Linked DNA regions of Lytechinus pictus. The protein of the gene in region 1 purifies or fractionates together with the protein of each later gene. This does not show direct contact. Links are inferred from orthologs where the notes say so. Each region holds a gene or a part of one and is shown in the gene's direction. Other genes may lie near its edges.

The links.
Region 2: the proteins of activin receptor type-1-like (region 1) and protein DVR-1 homolog purify together in Drosophila melanogaster (affinity purification with western blotting, with the first as the bait; 3 studies listed by BioGRID). This does not show direct contact. The link is inferred for Lytechinus pictus from reciprocal best matches to the Drosophila melanogaster genes sax and gbb.

Annotation. Positions count from the first base shown.
Region 1 is NC_087245.1:10,046,242-10,056,520, forward strand, and holds the start of activin receptor type-1-like, read left to right. Parts: upstream 1-5,879; 5' UTR 5,880-6,052; coding exon 6,053-6,080; intron 6,081-6,531; exon of another isoform or gene 6,532-7,072; intron 7,073-10,279.
Region 2 is NC_087245.1:29,075,609-29,085,818, reverse strand, and holds the start of protein DVR-1 homolog, read left to right. Parts: upstream 1-6,127; coding exon 6,128-6,146; intron 6,147-10,210. UniProt on the Drosophila melanogaster protein: Required for the growth of imaginal tissues and for patterning of the adult wing.

The DNA of each region.
Region 1 (10,279 bases):
GGGTGGGGTAGGGGGATCATACAGCTCAGGAAGGAGGGATCAATCAGTCACCTCCTCGTGGAGGTCAAGGGTCATTCTTCCGATTGTTTGATCAGCAATGACTTCTATACATACACAGGTTGAATGTGCCTACATGTCCACTTGCACCCCATGCTATTTGTGTTTTGTCAATTGCCATTATTATTTTATCAACAATAATTGATGGAGGAAGAGAATGCTTACTGGCTGCAAATGCCATTATGTTCCAAACTGATTCATTAAATAATAAAAAAAACGATAACATTTTCAAAATTTTGTAGGGCACTTTATATGGGTGAGATACAATAATTTGTGTTTATATTTGTCTATTGCATGTAATGGAAGTTGTTGGTCATAATTCGCTCTCTACAGTTAGAACATGAAAATTAGGATTCTATTGACAATTTTCACTTGAGGCAACTCCCATGATAACTTCTAATTTGTTTTCAATGGAATTGCTGTTTTGGTAAAGCCAAGGTTATAATGATATAGGAGGTTTCTACCAAGTAAGGTGATTTCTACAAAAATGTTTGCTGGCAAATTTGGAGACCCGACTTAACTGTTAACAAAAGTGAGACATTCACAGAGAATTCTCTTCCACAAAAATTGCAGATTTAATAATAATGATATGTGCCCCCTGGAATAGTACAAATGTACACTTATAAATGTGTGTACATACATACACTGTAAGCCGTTTACAGTATGAAATATTGAATTAAAGTAATTAGTGTTCACACATTCAATAAATACTTTGGATATTTATAGCTAAGTTTTTTAAATATTATTCCTTCCTTTCTTTTGTTTTATGTTTGTTTAATAACAGTACATTGAATTGAAACAGTAGTCTATAAAGCATTAATATCAAGGATTTGTCTATGTTCTTCAGTTGAGATTGACATTTGACCTTTAACCTGACCTCACCTGTTATCCTTCTGTTTCATGAAGATGGTGTTTCAATCATATTTCATAGCAGCTGTTTTTTTTTAAACTTGTGATGTTGATTCCAGAAGGAGCAGCATACATGTACATTAACAAATATTTTCAGTGAGAGTAACCAATATTCCTAGTATGATGCCAAGTCTTTATTCTTGTGTGAGTGTGAGATTAAAACAAATGTTTCTTCCAAAATTCCATATTTTTCATCATTGTGTTTTCATTTTTGATGAATAAGCATTTATGAATGTAACACCCTATCCTATCCTCTACTGTCATAAGTGAAAAAAATGATTTTGTGTTTTGTTATAATTCTCTTTTGAAGTCAGAAAGATGATGTTCTTACATGGAGTTCTTTGATTTTTTAATTGGTTATGGATTGCTTGTTGTCATGGAAAACAACTGATTTTTGTGTTGATTTGTGTAGATTTCAAGATTCACCTCTTCCACATCCCTGCTGGGTTTGTTTCGAGACCTGTCATCTGTTGAATGATGTTATATCCTGATTGCACAAAGGTCAAATCATGACTACTTGTTGTTCTCATGTGTTGATGCATACCTACATGTACATCTATGCACATTGGAGAATTTTATTTTTCTTCACAAGATCAGTAATATCATTTGCATAACCAGGGAATCCACAATTTCTAAGCAATACCCAAGGAACTTCAAGCTCCTTGGCATAACTACTGTAAACCTAGAAAGATTTTTTGAAGGCCTATGTATATACGTGTAGGGCCTACAGTTCTGACAAAAACAATTTTTAACAAATTCTTTATTACATAATTTACCGGCAAACATTTTTTTTCAAATTCATCCACTAAGATGTGATGTACTCTACTGTAGATTTTCAGACGAGATGTTATTGTAACAGAGTTAGAATTAGTTTACAAATCCAAGTTTTTATATTGTCAGGTCGTAGCAATGTAGAATTAGTGTTTACATGTAGGTATAAGATATTGGGGGCCTCATTTACTTATCAGCGGTTTTAATATATTTTCATGATTTGTATGATTTCTGTACCAGTAGCTGGTACATGCTTTTACGATCGTAACTTTGTATTGAGAATAGGAGTCCAGTAGCATAATTCCATTCATACTGCCTGGCTAGGTCCAGTGAATCTATAGTGATCGTAACGACTAGCTTTCAATGCGAGTTAGAATTGATGCTTCAGCTGGCGCCACTATTCCATTTCATTGCATTGGCTGTGTCTCCCCTCGTTTCCTCAATTAGTTGTAGTGACAGTCTCGGCCCAATGTAGATATGTGTGTATGCTCTTCTCTACTGGATCCCTCATCCCAGAGGGCAGTCAACTAAAATGTACAGCTGGATTCTATTAATATTTATTTTGTTTATCAATCATACATGTAAATGTACTACTGTCCCGGTACTTTGAAAGCCAAGACAAGACGTAGCAAAAAAATGATTACAATGCCTTTGTGATCTTTATCTTTTATTATGCCCATATAATATATATTTATATTATTAATACTAACATGCCCCCCCCCCCCTTTTTTTACACACTTAGTTTTTATTTGCTCCACAATGAAGCATGGGGTTTGCAGACTTTGTTTGCATATTCGTTGCTCCTTCTGATTTTCAACCCCCACAATATTTACTGTATTTTATATATACATGTATATACATATATATATAATATATTATATATAATATATTATATATATATGTATATAATATATTATTATATATAATATATAATAATCAGGTGAATGTAGGCCTACACGTTGCCCAATCATAAAATTAATCCCTTATACATCCTTCACATTTGCTCTACGGCGGAGTAGAAAACAGCCGTTTATTCATTTTTTTTCTTCAAACCACCTACATGTACTGTAGCTATGACAAAAAATGTTAAATGAAAATATAAAGCAGCATCTGGAGCTGGATTTTTAAAATTACACAACTTATTTGGGAAACCGCAGATTTTTTGGCAATTTCACATGGAAATGCAGGATTTTTCTGAACATTGCCATCTGATTTTATACAAAAGAGTTACTTTAACCATAGCTTGGGCGATTTTAAGGTTTCTTAAAAGCCAGCAAACATTTGTGATTATCATTAATTACCACCAAAAGTTGATACACAGAGCTATCAAGTGAGTGTTGAAAAGGATAGCCAAGAATATTCATTGAATATTAATGTTCCCAGTTCCCGCAGTCAGTCTGTCTGTCTCCACTGTGCTACAACTTTTTATTCCATTCTCTCTTTCACTTTACCCATTGCTCTTTAATGGAGAGAGTAGCTAGCAGCGATCATTGTTCTATTGTAACATTTCCGGTGCCAGCAGACAAGCAAGTGTGATTCTATCATTAATGGTCTTCATTACCGACTGGATAAAAAAAAAATCTTGCAAGGAATATGATATCCAAGCTGCCTGGAATATCATGTCATTTCCAATCCATGTTTGGTTATCTTAACATTATCGGATCCACATTGTTTGTGTCACTTTATCGCTTTCATATGATTTGATTGGAGATGAGAATTGAATCTTCATTCCAAAGAATCCATAAACAGTAAAAAAAAAAATTGGATGCTATTGTAGTTGCACAATGGATCTAGTACAGATGATACTTGACAAGAGGATTACTGTTCTATGTCTTCTTATTTTTGTTGTTGTGGATTGTTTACCCACCCAGATGCCCAAGTGTAAGTAGAACATCATACTTTTCATTCAGAATATTGAATATGTACAATACAACAACAAAAAACTACCCCAAATCGTATACCGAGAAAACATTTTTTTCTGTTCTGTTATTTTGTTGGTAGGTGTATATTAAGGCCTGCATGTGTAGTAAATTTTTCTTTTTCTTTTTAAAAATATTTTTGTTAATTGAAAAGCGAAAATAGACTACTTGTCCAGCTGTCAGGTGTTTCTTTATACATGTAATACTAAAGACTAGTAAAGAGCCATGATATACTGTCCATTTAGGGTCCAACTAGAAATCATTTAAAAGTATTGATTGTGTGGATAAGATGTTGAAGGAATGGAATCAGGAGGGTTGATTGGTGTAAAGGGGGGAAAGAAAGTTGAGCTTATGGTGTGTATGCACAGGTGGTCCCTCACAGCCTATCTGGGTCATGTTTGACAAGTAAACTGCCCCATCATTCAAGAATACATGTCCATCATTCAACACAATGTAATGGGCTTGATGATAGATGCTTATCGCTACAATGTAGTCCCATCTACTTTTAAAGGGCCGATGCATTTCCATGAAGCATCTAGTCGGTGATCTTCACTGACAAAGTTTCTCCTAGCCAATGAGATGCAAAGATTTCAGTAGCTTATAACAAACAGTCTATAAAAGTCACAGTTTACAAATTGTTTCATGAAATGCTACCGATATGTACATGTAGGCCTATAAAAAAGTGGTAAAAATTCATAAAGAATGCACAACTGATATCATACTTGTAACAAAAGATGGTTACTTGCATGCTTTTCTTGTATTAATTAATCTGTAGTGACTAATTTCTTTGATTATTTAATAGGGTCTGCATACATGTAATATGCTATTGAATTGCACAAAAATAGACAAGAGCAAGGTCTTTCCAGTGATTTTTCTGCTTTTTCTATGTATGGAGAATAAAATGTGATTCACTTGTTTTCCAAGAGTAATGGTATGTATCCTTTTCCTATATCATTCATAAGCATGTGCCTGTACATATCCATGATTTGTACTGATTCTAATGACGCAGGAAATAATGATAGATTCCTTTAAGCACCTCCTACTACAATCTACAATGTAATTTCCTTTGGATGTTTATGAGGTTAATATTGACCCATCTTTGTCTATACACTCAAGATAATGCAACTGGGTTCTGCTTTCATTAGAAAATAATGAAAAAAAAAGTTCCTTCAAATACACCATGTTGAATCAAGGGGTCTAAATTGTGTTTGTTGGGTCTTGACCTTGGTTCTGTATGATGTGTGCACTAACCAAACTCAAAATTATCCTCTCTCAAATATGAAGGAATCACATTTGATTTTTAAATTCCACCTCTTTAAATGAAATTCATTAAAGTGGTATTGTACAAAGTATGCAATATATCCCCCTCATAAATATGAATGAAGGATACAATCTTTATATAGACTACATATTAAAATTATTCCTTGTTCAATCATTCAAATTTATATACCCTACATATACATGTATGTATTTATTGGTCATTGAATTTGCACCCTATGCTTTTAGATTTAAACATATAATAATAAATTTACATGTAAAATTGTTAAGTATGGAAATGTTATGGAAGATTCAGAGAATTGAAGGGGATAAAATCTGGAACTAACACACATTTCTACATACTGTATATTCCAATGCCAAGAATATTTTCCAATGAATAAAGTGTTTGTGTGAACACGGAGTAACCTGTTTGCCAGGACTTCTCCAATTCTATCACACCTTAGTTGCTGAGTTCCTGTGTAAATTGAAAACTTCAACCAATGAGGGCAACTCTAGCTAGTCTTGTATCTCTGACCTTATTGAAATCCCTGCACACTCTCAGATCGTCACATAAATTCTCATGGCTCTCATCACCAGGGCTTTTGTGAAAGTTTTGCCTTTGATAAACATATTCATGTTATGAAGTATGATCATGGAAGAATATCAACTGTATGTTGTAGGATTTTTAATTTGAAAGCGATGACAACATACATTTACATGTAGCTGTGATTTTTGTTTTTGTCAACCGAGTTTACTTTGAAGATGTGACTTAAAAATTAAAAAGAATTAAAAAAAATCCATTTAATTCATTAACAGCTTGAGAATATTTGTAATGTTTAAAGATACAAGTATAGATTAGAAATACATGTGCCAGACAAAATCTCTATTTTGTTGAGTTTTGATACTGAAGGTCTGAACACCATAGACTAGTTGTACTGTAAATGAGAGTGTATGGGCAGTCATGTCATTGTGAGGAAGGGACCATTTAGTGAGTTAGCGAGGGTTAGGTCATGTGGTCTTATTAGAGTATGGGACTTGTTTGCAGGTTTTATCCTATGGGATTCTTCTCTTGTTCACCATTCTTCAGCTTTTATCTCAATATCTACTGAGGATTTTTACTCTTTTTGGATTTTACCATCATGAGTTTGCCTGGTCACCTTACAGGCGGTGAGTTTTATGCATTTTTGGCTTTGTTATGTTTTTCATCTTTTTATTAGCATCTTTCATTTGAAGGCATCACAGCTTCATTGGTGAAAAGGTGTTTGAAATTAAGGCAAATCTGGCAAATAATTAAAAATGTTTTTATGCATTTAATTTGCATTTCGAGTTTGATGGATATCACTCCAAGTATACTTGTACCGGTAATACACGCTTTCTGAAAATCAAATTCACTTCAAAATGCCAACACTTTCGAATAGCAGACATCAATCATAGTCTCTCTGAAAATTTTCCTGATGCTTTTCCTGTTCAATTATTTTACCAATTTGCATGTTTTTGGATGCTTTTGAGAAAGTGAGCATAGAAGTATAGTTTTCAATATACTGTATGACATTCTTGAAATTCCTTTCATTCAATATAGAGTTTTCTTACTTGTAGGCCAATTTCTAATCTGTTTGTTGAATTGATTAATGACACAAGAATGCCTTTTGATGTTCTCCATGTACATGTATCTGTTGGTTTTAAAATGTTTTTAAATTATACCGATGAAAAGTTGAATACTTTCACAGAGACAAGATGATGTATTGCATGGATTTTCCTACAAATTACATTCAGTATCTTCTTTCTACCCCAATGGCTTTCGTCTATTCCGATCAAGTCTTGAATCTTGGAAGTTTCTGGCATTCTTCCTGAACTTCTCTCTAATGAAGAAGAAAAGGATTTGGGTTAAGAGCTTTGAGAGATCCACCCACTAGTTCCTGATAGGGTGCAGTCCCAATCCCTGCTAAGTTAAGATATCAAAACTACATCGTGCAGCGTTGTTTGTACTAGGACTTCAATCCCAACTTTCTTCACTTGAAAATCTGCGGATAAAACTTCAGGAGGAAGATTGATGAAGGAATTCGTTTGTATGGTGATTTAAAGGAGACGTTCTTCTGCAAATCAAGATGAATATGCTCACAATCTGAAGTAGTCAGCAGTTTGAAGTTATGCTTGGTGGGGTAAAAAATGTTTGTAGTTACAAGAAGTTATTTATAAAATGTTGGTGTGGCTTTGATATTTTCATAGCTAGAAAAAAGATGGGGTGATTTCTAGGATTAGATGGTATTGAACACTAATATTTTTCAAATGCTTTTTATAAAATCAAGTTCTTAATAGCAAAATCCCTTTTCTGTGAAGTAAGGAACGAATGAATGTGATTAGTATCTGATTTACTGTACATGTACATGTAGGCTATCTCGATATGAAAACTATGCTCTTCCCTTTGTTTTCTCAAATAGCATTCTCATGGTGCATTTTGAGCACTGCTGATTTGTTTTTGAAGTTATGCTTTATTATTTTGTATTAGACTCAACACAAAATAGAGGAATTCCCTACTTCTAAGCTTCTAAACGTCCTTTTATTTATCTAGTACTTGTATCACCTGTTCAAACTGAGAATAGAAATGAATTGGCGATGTGTACAATAACTGGTAATGTACTGTGGAAGTTTATTCTACATGTATTTGGACTACAATTTTTTCTTGGTTACTTTTAAAGTGAAATTTTACTTTATGGATTGTCACCATCTATGCTGGAGTGAACCAATATTTGGGATATTGATAACAAGGCAAGTGACTTTCTATACCATATTTCAATTCCATAATCTATTAGGGGCCCTTTTTCACAAATGTTCAAACATTTTTTTATTGTAACCTTCCTTGTATCATGAAGTATTACTGCAATCTTGATTTTTAATGAAGTTTATTGTTTGAGAGATCCTCTATCTTTCATACATGTACCTCATGGCTTGTTGAAGTTTATGCGCATATTTATCCATCTGTCCCTGTAAACCTACCCTGTAGGGGGGTTGAACACCAGCAAGTAAACTCTCCTAATTGCGTCTTTCATCGAGGGACTTGTTTCTCTCAAGCTGTGTGCACTGTACTCTAGCCTTTCTTCAAGGGTTGTGTCTTTGAACATACATGTAGTAATGCCTTCAAATGTTTCTTTAGTATGATATGTAAAACAAAAAAATGGCCCTTTATAAAGCATTTATTGTTGGAGCTGGTCAGTGCAGAATCCTTGGATAAAAAAAAATGCTTAATTTATCATTACCGGTACCTTTTATAGGCTTTTAATCTTTAAAATGAATTATGATTTGAGCATGGTGTTCATCAGTTTTAACACAAAGAAAGGGTTGAGAATTTCAGAGGTAGGCCTACACAATGTACAGCCATCTAGCTCCATGGTACAGTATTTTCATTTTGTTTGATAATTCTATATTAACACACCTGTACTTTTCAGTGTATGATCAATACAACTCAAGAAGTACATGGAAGTATCCACCAGAAAGGGTTTATGGCACCTCATGAACAAAACCAGGGCAAGCTTGGGTATAAATAAACACAATTCTTGTATATTATGTACGATTGAGTATAGAGCTCTGTGCTTTTTAAATGGAATGGTAAATATTATTGTTGCTCTTCTTCTTATTGTACATGTACATGTAGTAGAGACATTGTTGAATCTTTATCATTCTCTGCATGCCTCTGGTACATGTTGATGAACACCAAACTTGCTTGTCTATGACGTACATGTAGACTGCATTTTACAATGTCTAAATCTTAAAAGAAACAAATCAAAAAGCATAATACTTGAAAGTACTGCTTTCATGTGCCTTGGACTTTGAGAACAAAAATCCTGAAGCTACTCAGATAGTACCTTTTTTTATGAAAATAATCGGCTGCAAGTACATCAGAATCCTTCAGATTCAGGTTTGGTTTAAGTCCATACATATATTTCTGAGAGTACACTGTACAATGTAGTAGGTGTCATCATGAGTGTTCAAAATGAGTTACGTAATGAGGCTAGAACACTAATTGATAAATGAGAATTGATCCATCATCACTATCTATACCTCTATAGGTGTGTTCATTGAGGTAACAGGCGGCTAATATGTGACTTCAAGTATGTCATTGAGCATCGGTGTAAAAAAGTGACATGTACATGTAGTCTCTCTTGTATATCTCTGGCAATTTGGAAAAAAAACGTTTTTATTGACCCCTTCATCTGGACATCGAAGAATCACAAAGTATATTTTGTCCATGAGAAGTGTAATGTTGTCAAGTGATTACAGCATCATGTCTCTGTAACCTTTCATTCCTGTGTCTAAAATCCTCTTAGACCAGGTGTGAGTGTTTTATTGACCCATTGGACCAATGAATGGGGGCTTCTTGGGAATCTTGGCACCTATCCACCAAGCTCTCCTCCCTCTATTGTTCCTTCTCATGGCCCTTTCTGACCCAGCGTAAACACTTCAAATCACTTTGCAATTCGAAGGATATATGCCTTATATCTATGTGCTGTCCAAGTCAAGATATATAAATAGCATCTTTTGCTTGCAAGCCCTTAAAGCTCTGCAATCTGGCAAACCATCAGGATCACACAGACAACTAAACTAGGGGTTTGTCAGATTCAACTGAACAATAAAGAAAAATAGTAGTTTTTTTTTCTTCATCTAAATCTGTATACCAAGGGGGTGGGGGGGGGGGGGGGGGGTCAAAACCTTAGCCTCTACCATTAATGCTGATTAGAAGAAAAACATTTCAAGTAAAGAAAATCATGTACATGTATCATGCAGAAATTGTTCAAGATGCAACATGTTTCTGAATCCTATATTTTTTTTGCAGATTGGTAACTAACTACAAGCACTAGGTAGGTTCCCTAGAGCATGTGGTGATGGTGACCATATAGCATAGATCTACATCTGCATTCCTACAGCATGATATTGGTTTACAATGTATTAGAACAATGTATGCTCTCTATTGAAAGCTTCTGAGTAGGTGTACATGTGTATCTTTGAGGATGTAGGTCTACTGTATAGTCATCAAGCAAAAGATAAGCCTTGAATAGACAATGGAGAGTAGGAAGTACTGAAGATTCTGCAACCATCCCTCAACAATGGGTGGGATATCACCTGTATTGAAGAGTTTGCTTCAATGAGAGCCCAGACACCTCTTGTCATTGATGAGCAAGGATTAGTATACCTTGAGTCAACATCTTTGTTGAGGACAGGGTATCCTCGAAGCTGAATGAATGCATCAACCCTCTGGTGTATGGTCATAGGAAGGAAACCTATGTGAGTGGGTGAATTGTCACCAACATGGAGGGAGCATGTGCTGAACAATGGTTTCAGAGCTTAATAGTGATGAGAAGTGTCTTTATTCT
Region 2 (10,210 bases), about 19 Mb from region 1:
CTGCGATTATTCCACTGAGCCACAAAACCTCTACAAGAGGATAAATGTCTTGAAGTCAATATGTCTTGTTTCACGAGAGCCATGGTCCACAGTCTGGGCTAGCCAATGCATTGTAGTCTAATGGATTGGATTTTCACCAAACTTCTCTGGATTATTCCCGTTGTGACCCCAGAATGGTCAAGGAGATTGCCAGGTTTGGTCGTGATGAGCACAGAATAAATGCAGATAGAGAAGAACTAATGTCCGTAATCCGTATTAACCTTTGAATCCGTTGCATTGTCATCAAGTATGCAAGGTTCCGGGGGCAAAGATATCGCCGCTGACGCAATTGAGCTCAGAACAGGGTCTGTATTTCGAGGCCAAATTTGGAACCGGGTGGTAAACCCTGAACTGCGCCTCGGGGTGTATACGCGGTCTCGCTGTTATCAAGTCACGATAACATAGCAATGAGAATCGCATCATGGTAATTGACTGGGAATGTAGCTTGACCTTACTGTGTAAACACTTGAGGACACCATCGGTTCACCTTTACCCCCCCCCCCCTTCTCCCGTCGAAAGGATGTGCAAGCCAAGGAATGGGCCAGATCAGAAAGAGTGATCTCGAAGGCTTGCTCTTTCCATGGACATTACACTGTTACAGCAAAAATTGTGGCTTTGGATATTGTACATACATGTAGACATAATTGAGGACCACACTAGTCATTTTACCCCGGTGTTGATTGTTGGTGTTGGTTCAACACGTATTGATGTTATTACGACACCTTTTGGTTGCTACTTTTACACTCTGGTGTTATGTTCAATCTCTATAGGGCGTAATTTTAACACCTCAGTGTGTGGTTCCGTAGGGACACCAACTGGTGTCAACATTTCAACGAACCAGTTTGTACATGAATATATACAATGTCAGATCGTTACATTCAACATTGCTGAACCCAGGGTGGCGATCCTGGGGGCGGGGCACAGTGCCCCCCCCCCCCCCACTTTTTGAAGCACTTAAAAAGTGTCCTTTTTACGCAAGAAAAAAAATGCCCCCTCACGAACGTGTACTGTGCTCCTTTCATCTGAAGAGGACCCGTTTTAGGTGTTACCAAGTGCCCTCTCTCGTATAAGTGCCACCCCCCCAAAAGAAAATGCCCCCTCACGGACGTGTTCTGTGGTTTTGCCATTTTCACCTGAAAAGGACCCGTTTCATGTGTTAGCAAATGCCATATCTTGTATCAGTGCCAAATTTTACAAAAAATTCCCCCTCACGAACGTGTTCTATGCCCCTTTCACCTGAGACCCGTTTTATAGCAAGTGCCCTTTTGCCATCTTATAGGTGCCCTTTCTCATATCAGTGCCCCTTTTTACCCAAAGAAAGTGCCCCACACGAACGTATTCTATTCCCCTTTCACATGTTTTATGTCTGAGCAATTGCTCCATTGCCTTCTTGTAAGTGCCCTTTTTTCCCAAGAAAAGTGCCCCTTACGAACATGTCCCGTGCCCCTTTCATCTGAGAAGGACCCGTTTTACGCCGTTAGCAAGTGCCCCTTTGCTGTTTTATAGGTGCCCGTTCTCCTATCAGTATACCCCTTTTTACCTACGTAAGAAAAGTGCCCCCACGAACGTGTTCTGTGCCCGTTTCACCTGAGAAGGACTTATGTGTTTACGAGTGCCCCCTTGCCTTATCATAGGTGTCTGTTCTTCATGTAAGATAAGTTGTCCTGAAAACCACTCTTTTCGTGCCCGATGTGCCCCGGTTTCTTTATTTAGCGCCGGTTTTTTTTTTGAAAACTTTTTGAAAAACTCATTCCTTCACTGCAGATTTTCACAAAATCCACCAAAAGTATGCACAAAACTTAACAAAGTGCAAACGCGGCTCAATGATAAGCTCGGTCGCTTTTCTCCCTCGCTTTCAAGTTTTTTTCCAAAAAGTTGACGCGTGCTGCTCCCCAGCTAAAAAAAATATGCATACGGCCATGTTTAAGATAATGCCCTTTTCGAAACAAAAGGTGCCATTTTTCCCCTGTGCCCCCCCCCCTACTTTCAACTTCGCTCCGCCGTCCCTGACTGAACCGACCGGAAATATGACTCTTGTCGATAGGCCTATGGTAGGCCTTATTACTTGTGAACCAGTGTGAACTGCCTTGTCTTTTGGGAACACCGCCATAGTCTACTTGCAGGGGCCGCGGAACGGTTTTGAAAGTGGGGGGGGGGGGGGCTGACCATGCAAAAATGATAATCAGATTGTCATTTCTATGTTTTTGTACATGGTTGTGGAAAAAAGTGGGGGGGGGGGGCTGACCATGCAAAAATGATAATCAGATTGTCATTTTTATGTTTTTGTACATGGTTGTGGAAAAAAGATGCGGGGGCATGTCTCTTTACTTCAATGTCCGGATGTAATTAATAAGTTGACGTCTGAATGTACTTGATTTTTGTCCAGAATCGTGAGAGTGTCAGGTGCTCTACCCGTCATTTTTGCTGTATATTCAGGAAATGATAGCAATTTAGGGACTTGTGTTCTTTTTTTCATATTTGAATAACTTAGGTACTTGTTGATGAGATACTGCATTTCCCTGTTTTTTTTTTCAATGTTGTAACACTCATGTAAGCGTATCATTACGTTTATCTTGATTTAAGTCAAAGATTGTATGCACCTGGGTTCCAATCTAGCAAGAAAAATAGATCATGCTACGTGGCCGAAGGGTGAGGGGTAGGCAGAAAAGCAATCGGTTTGATTATACCAAGAAATGGACTGGTCTTGTTTATGAAGAGATTCTTGACAGAAGGCAATGGGAGGTGCAGGGGCATAGCCCCCGCATATAGCCACCAACCCCTTTCGAAGGGACGACACTAGATGTTATTGAATAAGCCAAATATTCTGTCTCCATATTGGTAGGTCCATGATCCTATTAAGTTTTGGTTTTTTTTCTTGTGTTTTTTCTCAGTTTAATGGATGATAATAACGTCACGTACATGCACGTGGCTTTGATAAACCACTGATAACCGTAAAAAATGTTTATGATTGTCTCTCAGTTATCATTCATCGATATCGATGCTTGTTGCGTTTGTGTATAGTTCAGTTGCACACAGTTCATACGCGAATGTATATAACATTCGATATTACATTCATGTTTTATAGTAGAAAAGTATACCTACTCACGATGTGAGTCACCGCACAGCGCCACCTATGACCGACCTGTGTCTTAATTGATGCTAAAACCGCCATTCTCCGGTTTCAAAAAGTGTATCTGATTTCAAGTCCAAGTTTCCATCCAAGATAGACAATCATCTCTCAAATGTCAGCGGGGTATTAGAGTGACAGAAATCAAACTGCCTTGCAAATTTTCTCCTTGTTGTTTGGATATCGCGATTCATCACGGGGAAATTATTGCTGGGAAGATTCGGTCGTGACATGTCATGTAAATATTCAACGTCTTTATCGGCCATTAATGGTCGGTTGACGAGCTGAGGTAAACACATCACATGGGCAGTAAATCTGTTTAAAAGGTTATTATGACAAGTCATATAGACACCCATCTCCCGTCTGTCTCGTACCTCACTGGGCGCATGGTGTATTATGAGGTCCACGAGGCCGAGTGTCCACGAGACTGATTTTCATATCGTAGGCTATTTTATTTAATCATGTTTATCAAACTTGTCTACTGAAGATACTTCCGGCTTGGGCTATTCTTTAATGTAAGCTGAAATGTAGACTGTTTCACTGTGTAAGTTTCGGTTAATAACAAATAATTATGAGAAAAACAATACGAGTAAAATCGGCCTCGTACCTGAACTATAATTCGAATCTCTTCTCGGTATATGCCAAGAGTTGCCGTGTTTACACGCTGCGTCGACTCGCGGTGTGCAACCGAGAGCCGATCATGCCGATGCACGTGTAAACACGGTAACAGATGCAACTTTTGTTATTAGTTTTGATCACGATCGTCCCAGGAGTCACACATATCCACTCCTGGGTAGAGAGAGCGAGATAGAGCCTTCTTACGCTCTACAAACTGGGGTGTTAAACTGACACCCGTTGATGTCCCAAGACGGCCACACCCTTTATTTGAACATAAAGCCAAAGAGTGTTAACCATGTTAACGACTAAAGGTGTTGTAATATAGGCATTGAACTAATATTAAATCTAACACTGGAGTATAATGACCGGTGTTGTTCGCTAGTTTGCTCGCCAAAAGAAATAGATAGCATTATTAATTCGAAAAATCGGAGGGAAAGTAATTTATGATGGTCTGACGCTGATAAAACTCAATTTCTTATCGAGAGAAAGCGGAAACTTTGGAAATTGCTCTTCTAGGGTATCCCCAAGTCCCAAGCCGAAAGTACGGGCTACCTACCCACAGCGGGTTCGTAGTACTTCCAGGTCCACTCTATATCTACCATATGTGTGCAAGGTAGGCTGGTCTTTCAGCCGGTCCGTCTGTTCAGATCACTATATACAGGTAATGATGATGCACCCTATCACCTATTACCCCATAATGATTTAAGACGTGACTTGTGAAATATCAGCTTAATCCATGGTGTAATTGCATTTCATGTCAAGCGCTGTAAATTTGACAAGAATGCAGTCATTACCCCCCAAAGGTATATATACCAGAATTATAGCAGTGGTCATGGTGTAAGGAGGGGGGGGGGGGTACTTAGGAGTGGCAGCAGTTTAGTAGCAGTGTAGTAGTAGTAGTAGTAGTAGTTCAAATTTAAACTAGAAAATCAGCACTCATAGTGCAGTCACTATACAAGCACTGTAAATGCTAAATTAGCACATCATTTTTTACAGTGTAGTAGTAGTAGTAGTAGTGGTAGCTGTAGTAGTGGTAGTAGTATTATTATTATTATTAGTAGTAGTAGTAGTAGTAGTAGTAGTAGTAGTAGTAGTAGTAGTAGTAGTAGTAGTAGTAGTAGTAGTAGTAGTAGTAATAGTGGTAGTAGTAGTAGTGGCAGTAGTAGAAGTAGTAGTAGTAGTAGTAGTAGTAGTAGTAGTAGTAGTAGTAGTAGTAGTAGTAGTAGTTGCAGTATAGTAGTAGTAGTAGTCGTAGCAGCAGCAGCAGCAGAAGTAGTAGTAGTAGTAGTAGTAGTAGTAGTAGTGCTCCTAGAGGGAATCCGAAGAGCGGACACTACATGTATATTATAACATAATCGTTTACATTATGTTTTATCAACATACTTGCATCTTATACACTGTAAAAACACTGATTAAAATTTAAAGCACGTGGTTTAAGCCCGTCACTCTAACAACTGTTTAAAAAGTGTAAACAATTACAACAAGTAATTTAACAACTTGTTGTTAGAGTGACAGGCTTAAACCATGTAAACAACGTGCTATTTTTTTAACTGTGTAGCAGAATTGTGACGGTTATTGGCTTTTAATTGTCTGAAATTAGTTTCAACAACATATTGCTTGCAAAGTTCTTGAAATCGCTGTCTTAATACATGTATATTAATGCGGAAAAGAAACCTGTCTGGTATCAGAGAACAGTGACTGGCTAAATCATGTTAAATTCTGATATTCATCGATCTGGCGATATTTCATCAATACAATTAATCCATGAGTATCATGGTTATTGTCAAGACAACACATAGATTCTGAAGACCAATCATGTCTTACGCCACCATGTGATATGTTTTTTTTTTCTGTCTATGCATGGTTGCCATGGTTTCTGCTGATTATCAGAAAGCATTATTGCCCTCGGCACGCTCCATGTATAATTGAATCCCATGACGCATGCACATTCATCATAAAAATATGAAATGAATGAAAACACTTAACATTCGTATTTCCATGATTTTTTTCTTCTTCTATGCCATTATACGTCGTACGGTTTGTCCATCGTATTAAGATATCATGCATAATAACACTCAAGATTATTTTGGTCCATGAATGCAGGCATACAGAGATATTTAGCTTCAATTGGCTTCCATCGTTCCATGTACAAAAACGATAGAAGATACAATGCATCACATCAATTCCGCAATTCCCTTTCAAATTCATGATCCATTTGTACGAAGTATGCATGTATAAATAAATACCTTCTCCCATAGATACATTATTCCTTTCCTTATGAAAAGTTAAGAAAATAATGCTACTTTCACGAATATTCATCCCCCAAAATAAACAGATACGACCATGGGTGAGGCTACAGGGGGTAAGGGCGACAGCCCCTGTGATTTCTTAAGTAGAAAGAAAAAGAAAATGGAGACGAAGACGAAGATGGGAAAAAGTGGAAGAACAGGGGGGGGGGCAGGAAGAGTATCAAAAGGAGAAATCCTGCTATTGAATTTAAAAAATGAAGTCGATAAGGTCATCGCATGGTCTGTTCGTGAGACTAACGCCCATATTTATATATGAAAGAAAATATAAGGCTGTCATCGACATATTTGTATCAAAAACCTATTCCCTTGATTATTGCCGATAGTAAATTGGAGCGAAGGGAAGATTGGATTACTTCATGTCATGAAACGTGGATCCTCATCCATGTTTTATCCCTGACATATCAAACTTAAATGTCAAGTCCACCCCAGTAAACTATTGATTTGAATAAATAGAGAAAAATCAAACTAGCATAACACTAAAAATTTCATCAAAATCGGATGTAAAATAAGAAAGTTATGGCATTTTAAAGTTTCGCTTATTTTTCACAAAACAGTGATATGCACAATTCCGTGACATGAAAATGATTCAGTCGATGATGTCCATCACTCACTATTTCTTTTGTTTTTTATTGTTTGAATTATACAATATTTCATTTTTTAGAGATTTGACCATAGGGACCGAATTGACTGAATCATATAGTATTAAACAATGCTAATTCCACATGTTCAGAGAGGAATTGATCACCGTTTCACTTGACAATGAGGAGAAAATTAGAATATTTCATATTTCATATAATGAAATACAAAAGAAATAGTGAGTGGATGACGTCACCAGTGTCCTCATTTGCATACCGACCAGGATGTGCATATAATTGTTTTGAGAAATTAAGCGAAACTTAAAAATGTCATAACTTTCTTATTTTACATCCGATTTTGATGAAATTTTCAGTGTTACGCTTGTTGGATTTTTCTTTTTTTATTCAAATCAATTTTTTGTTGGGATGGACTTGTCCTTTAAAGTACATGAAGTATCATAAATAGGCCTATTTTCCTGGAAAACCGATATAGGTGATATACTTGCCTTTGTCATGTTTATGGATCTTTACTCTCTTAAAAATGCTGAGCAACATACTGTCTACACAATGGGTTAAAACTTTATCCAATTCTGGGTAGTTTTAAACCAATAATGTGTGCTTTGGGTGAAAACTACACAGTATTGGTTGAAAACTACCCAGAGTTGCAAACAAAATTAACCAATCGTTGTGTGGACAGCATGTTGCCCAACATTTTAAGAGTGTAGGTAGCAGTGGCGTATCTACAAATAAAGCGACGAGGGTAAACGCTTCAATCGCCCCGGCCCCCATCTGGTCCCGGTTGCCTCCCCATTTGTCTGTTATAATCAAATTCAAATTTTCTCCACATTTTGCCTTTTGCGATGATTTAAAATCTGGCGGGGGGGGGGGGGGCGGGGTGATTTTGTTGTCAACTTAAATTCTAAACCCAAGTTGAATAGGACCTATGAGAATGTTACAAGTGTTTTTTTCGTTTTCCCATTTTTTTTTTCACTTTTACTTTTAATTTGGAATCATGACGAAGTGTTGCTCGTAGTTTCAGAGATCAGGGGCCCTTAACACAAAGCTTAGCAATCATTGTACTGTAGGACATTTAAAAACTATTGATTGCAGTGACTGTAGTGTACAATCAATCGTGAAAATCAAGCATACGATAAATCTTTCACTTTTGTGTAACAGGTCCCGGGAGAAAAAAATGGGAGGAATTGAAATCTTGTATTCAGAGCAGGTATTTGGAAGGTGGATAGGCTTTTATGTCCTTACATACATGGTATTGGTTATATCAAAGTGCATAATATATTATTTTATGTTTTGGTTTTTTTTATCCTGCCAATCTCCTGTAAATAATTTTTCTTGGTGATTTATAATAAAAACATAGATTTACGAAAAAGTCCGTATGAATAATGTAATATTGATAGATTCCTAGTTTGGGTAAACGCATGTATTACTTGTAGTACGAGTATGATCGGGGATTTGTTAGTGACTCACAATATTTCCTACTTGTGGACTCAACACCAGATTCTGATATGCGCCATTTTAGAATTGAAATGAAGACATCACTTGACGGTGCTGGTGGAGATTTAAAAACCCAGATGTGATACCTGCATGCCTAGCCTCGGGCCACTGTAATGAGAAACTGTCTACTTGTATGCCTATTGTAAAATAGTACAATGTACATAATATCAGCCTTCCAGTTAGGTGCGTTCACACCAATTCGATTTTTACAGGGTCACACGGCCGTATACATATTAGCCAGCTCGCGGATATTTCGCCCCCACCCCCGCCCCCAGAAAGTGTTACGCAATTTTGGGTTGCTATAAGTTTTTTCCGTGTTAGCTTGTCAGATTTCCTGGTGGGGGCAACAGAGGTGTATTATTCACGTCTGGGATCGAAATTGAACGTCACCATCCGAAAGACGTGACGGCGGCTCGAGCCTCGAACCTCTGCATCATATTTTTATCTCCCCAAATTTAGCTTGGATTACGGGCGCACGCCGCAACGCCCATAAGATGTGTGGACTGTTTATACATGTATATGGCTGTGGACTGTTAAATAACCCTTTTTCAGTTTTTACAAGTATTTTTTTTTTCTTGCAGGAAATATGCTATCGGGGATTGTTTTGTTAATTTGAATGTTCTGTGTATTCAGCTCACTTTAATTTCATCAAGTTACTATTTATCAAACAAAGTCAATGGCGTAATGATACAATATTTTCTGAGGGGCTTCGTTTTGATCTGATTTACTTCTGCTGCAAAATCATATGCAAGCGAGTGAAGCGAGCCTTTATTATGGACTCCCTTTCGACGTTGACATATATTTGCCATTTAATATGCCAGATCAGTTGAAGACCCAATGAACATCGTGATATTGACTATTGTAGTGTCAGACTTTTATTTAAATTCAATTCAATTCATTTATTTTCCTCTTTCAATCTTTTCATATTTACTAATGATAGTTCAATTTGCATATATACAACACATAACACTTTAATTCATTACAATAACATAAGATCGAAAGGGAAGGAGACCGACTTAAAAGCAGAGCTTGTAGGGTGAAGGCCCCCCCGTTTCGAAGAACATGATATAACTTATAGTAAAAAGAAAATAACAAAAATGAAATAAATGATTGAATGAATAAATAAATAAATAAATAAATAAATAAAAATGAATAAAATGGAATAAGTAAAACAGAAGTAAATAAATAATGATGTTAACAAAAGTAATCATTTGATATTGAAAAAAAAATGGAAGGGGGTCTCCTGCCCCCAACCCCACCGATACACTAATGAAAAAAACAACGTTATCTAGTCAGTCTCGAGGTCTTCTTGTACCTAAGGTTACATGCATTCCCAGACACCTTACACTCAAGAATCATTCTCATGTGGAGTCCCTCTGTGAGATGTATGTGGGCCACAAGAAAATATTCCGACAGCATATTCCTGCGGATTCCTTCCGTTCCATAAACTGTTATTCTTCGGGGGTTTTCCATAGCAAGGTCCTTTGCTGGGCTTCCTTTCTCTCCCGCTGGATAACAGACGTTACAATTGTAACTCGATCGTTTTCTCCGCAGCAAGGGAAGTCGAACCACTCTCTTCAAAGCCGTATACGGTTTCCCTCTCAATTCTTGCAGTCGTGGATGTTGTTAAGATTCTGATAACAATGGAGGCATTTCAATAGGGAGAAGTAGGGATATTGTATTCTTTTGGAGAGTGAAACGTAAATATTTTGACGACTTGCAAGAGTCAGGGTCATATTGAACATGATCACCTTCAGATGATTACGTAATACGCATGGTCAGTGCCCTTAGTAAGTAAATATAGGATCCATGATTACAGAGATGAAGTTATTTGTCAGAGAAAGTGATGAGTGATTGTGGGAATATAGTGGATTATTGTGGTTACAACATAATAATAATAATAGTTACATTTATATAGCGCTCATTACTCTTTGTTTCTAAATGATTTGCATTACAATTATTATTACCCCGGTCATCGGATCCTGGCATGCCCGCACACAATGTACAGGTATGGACATTCTCCACTCCCT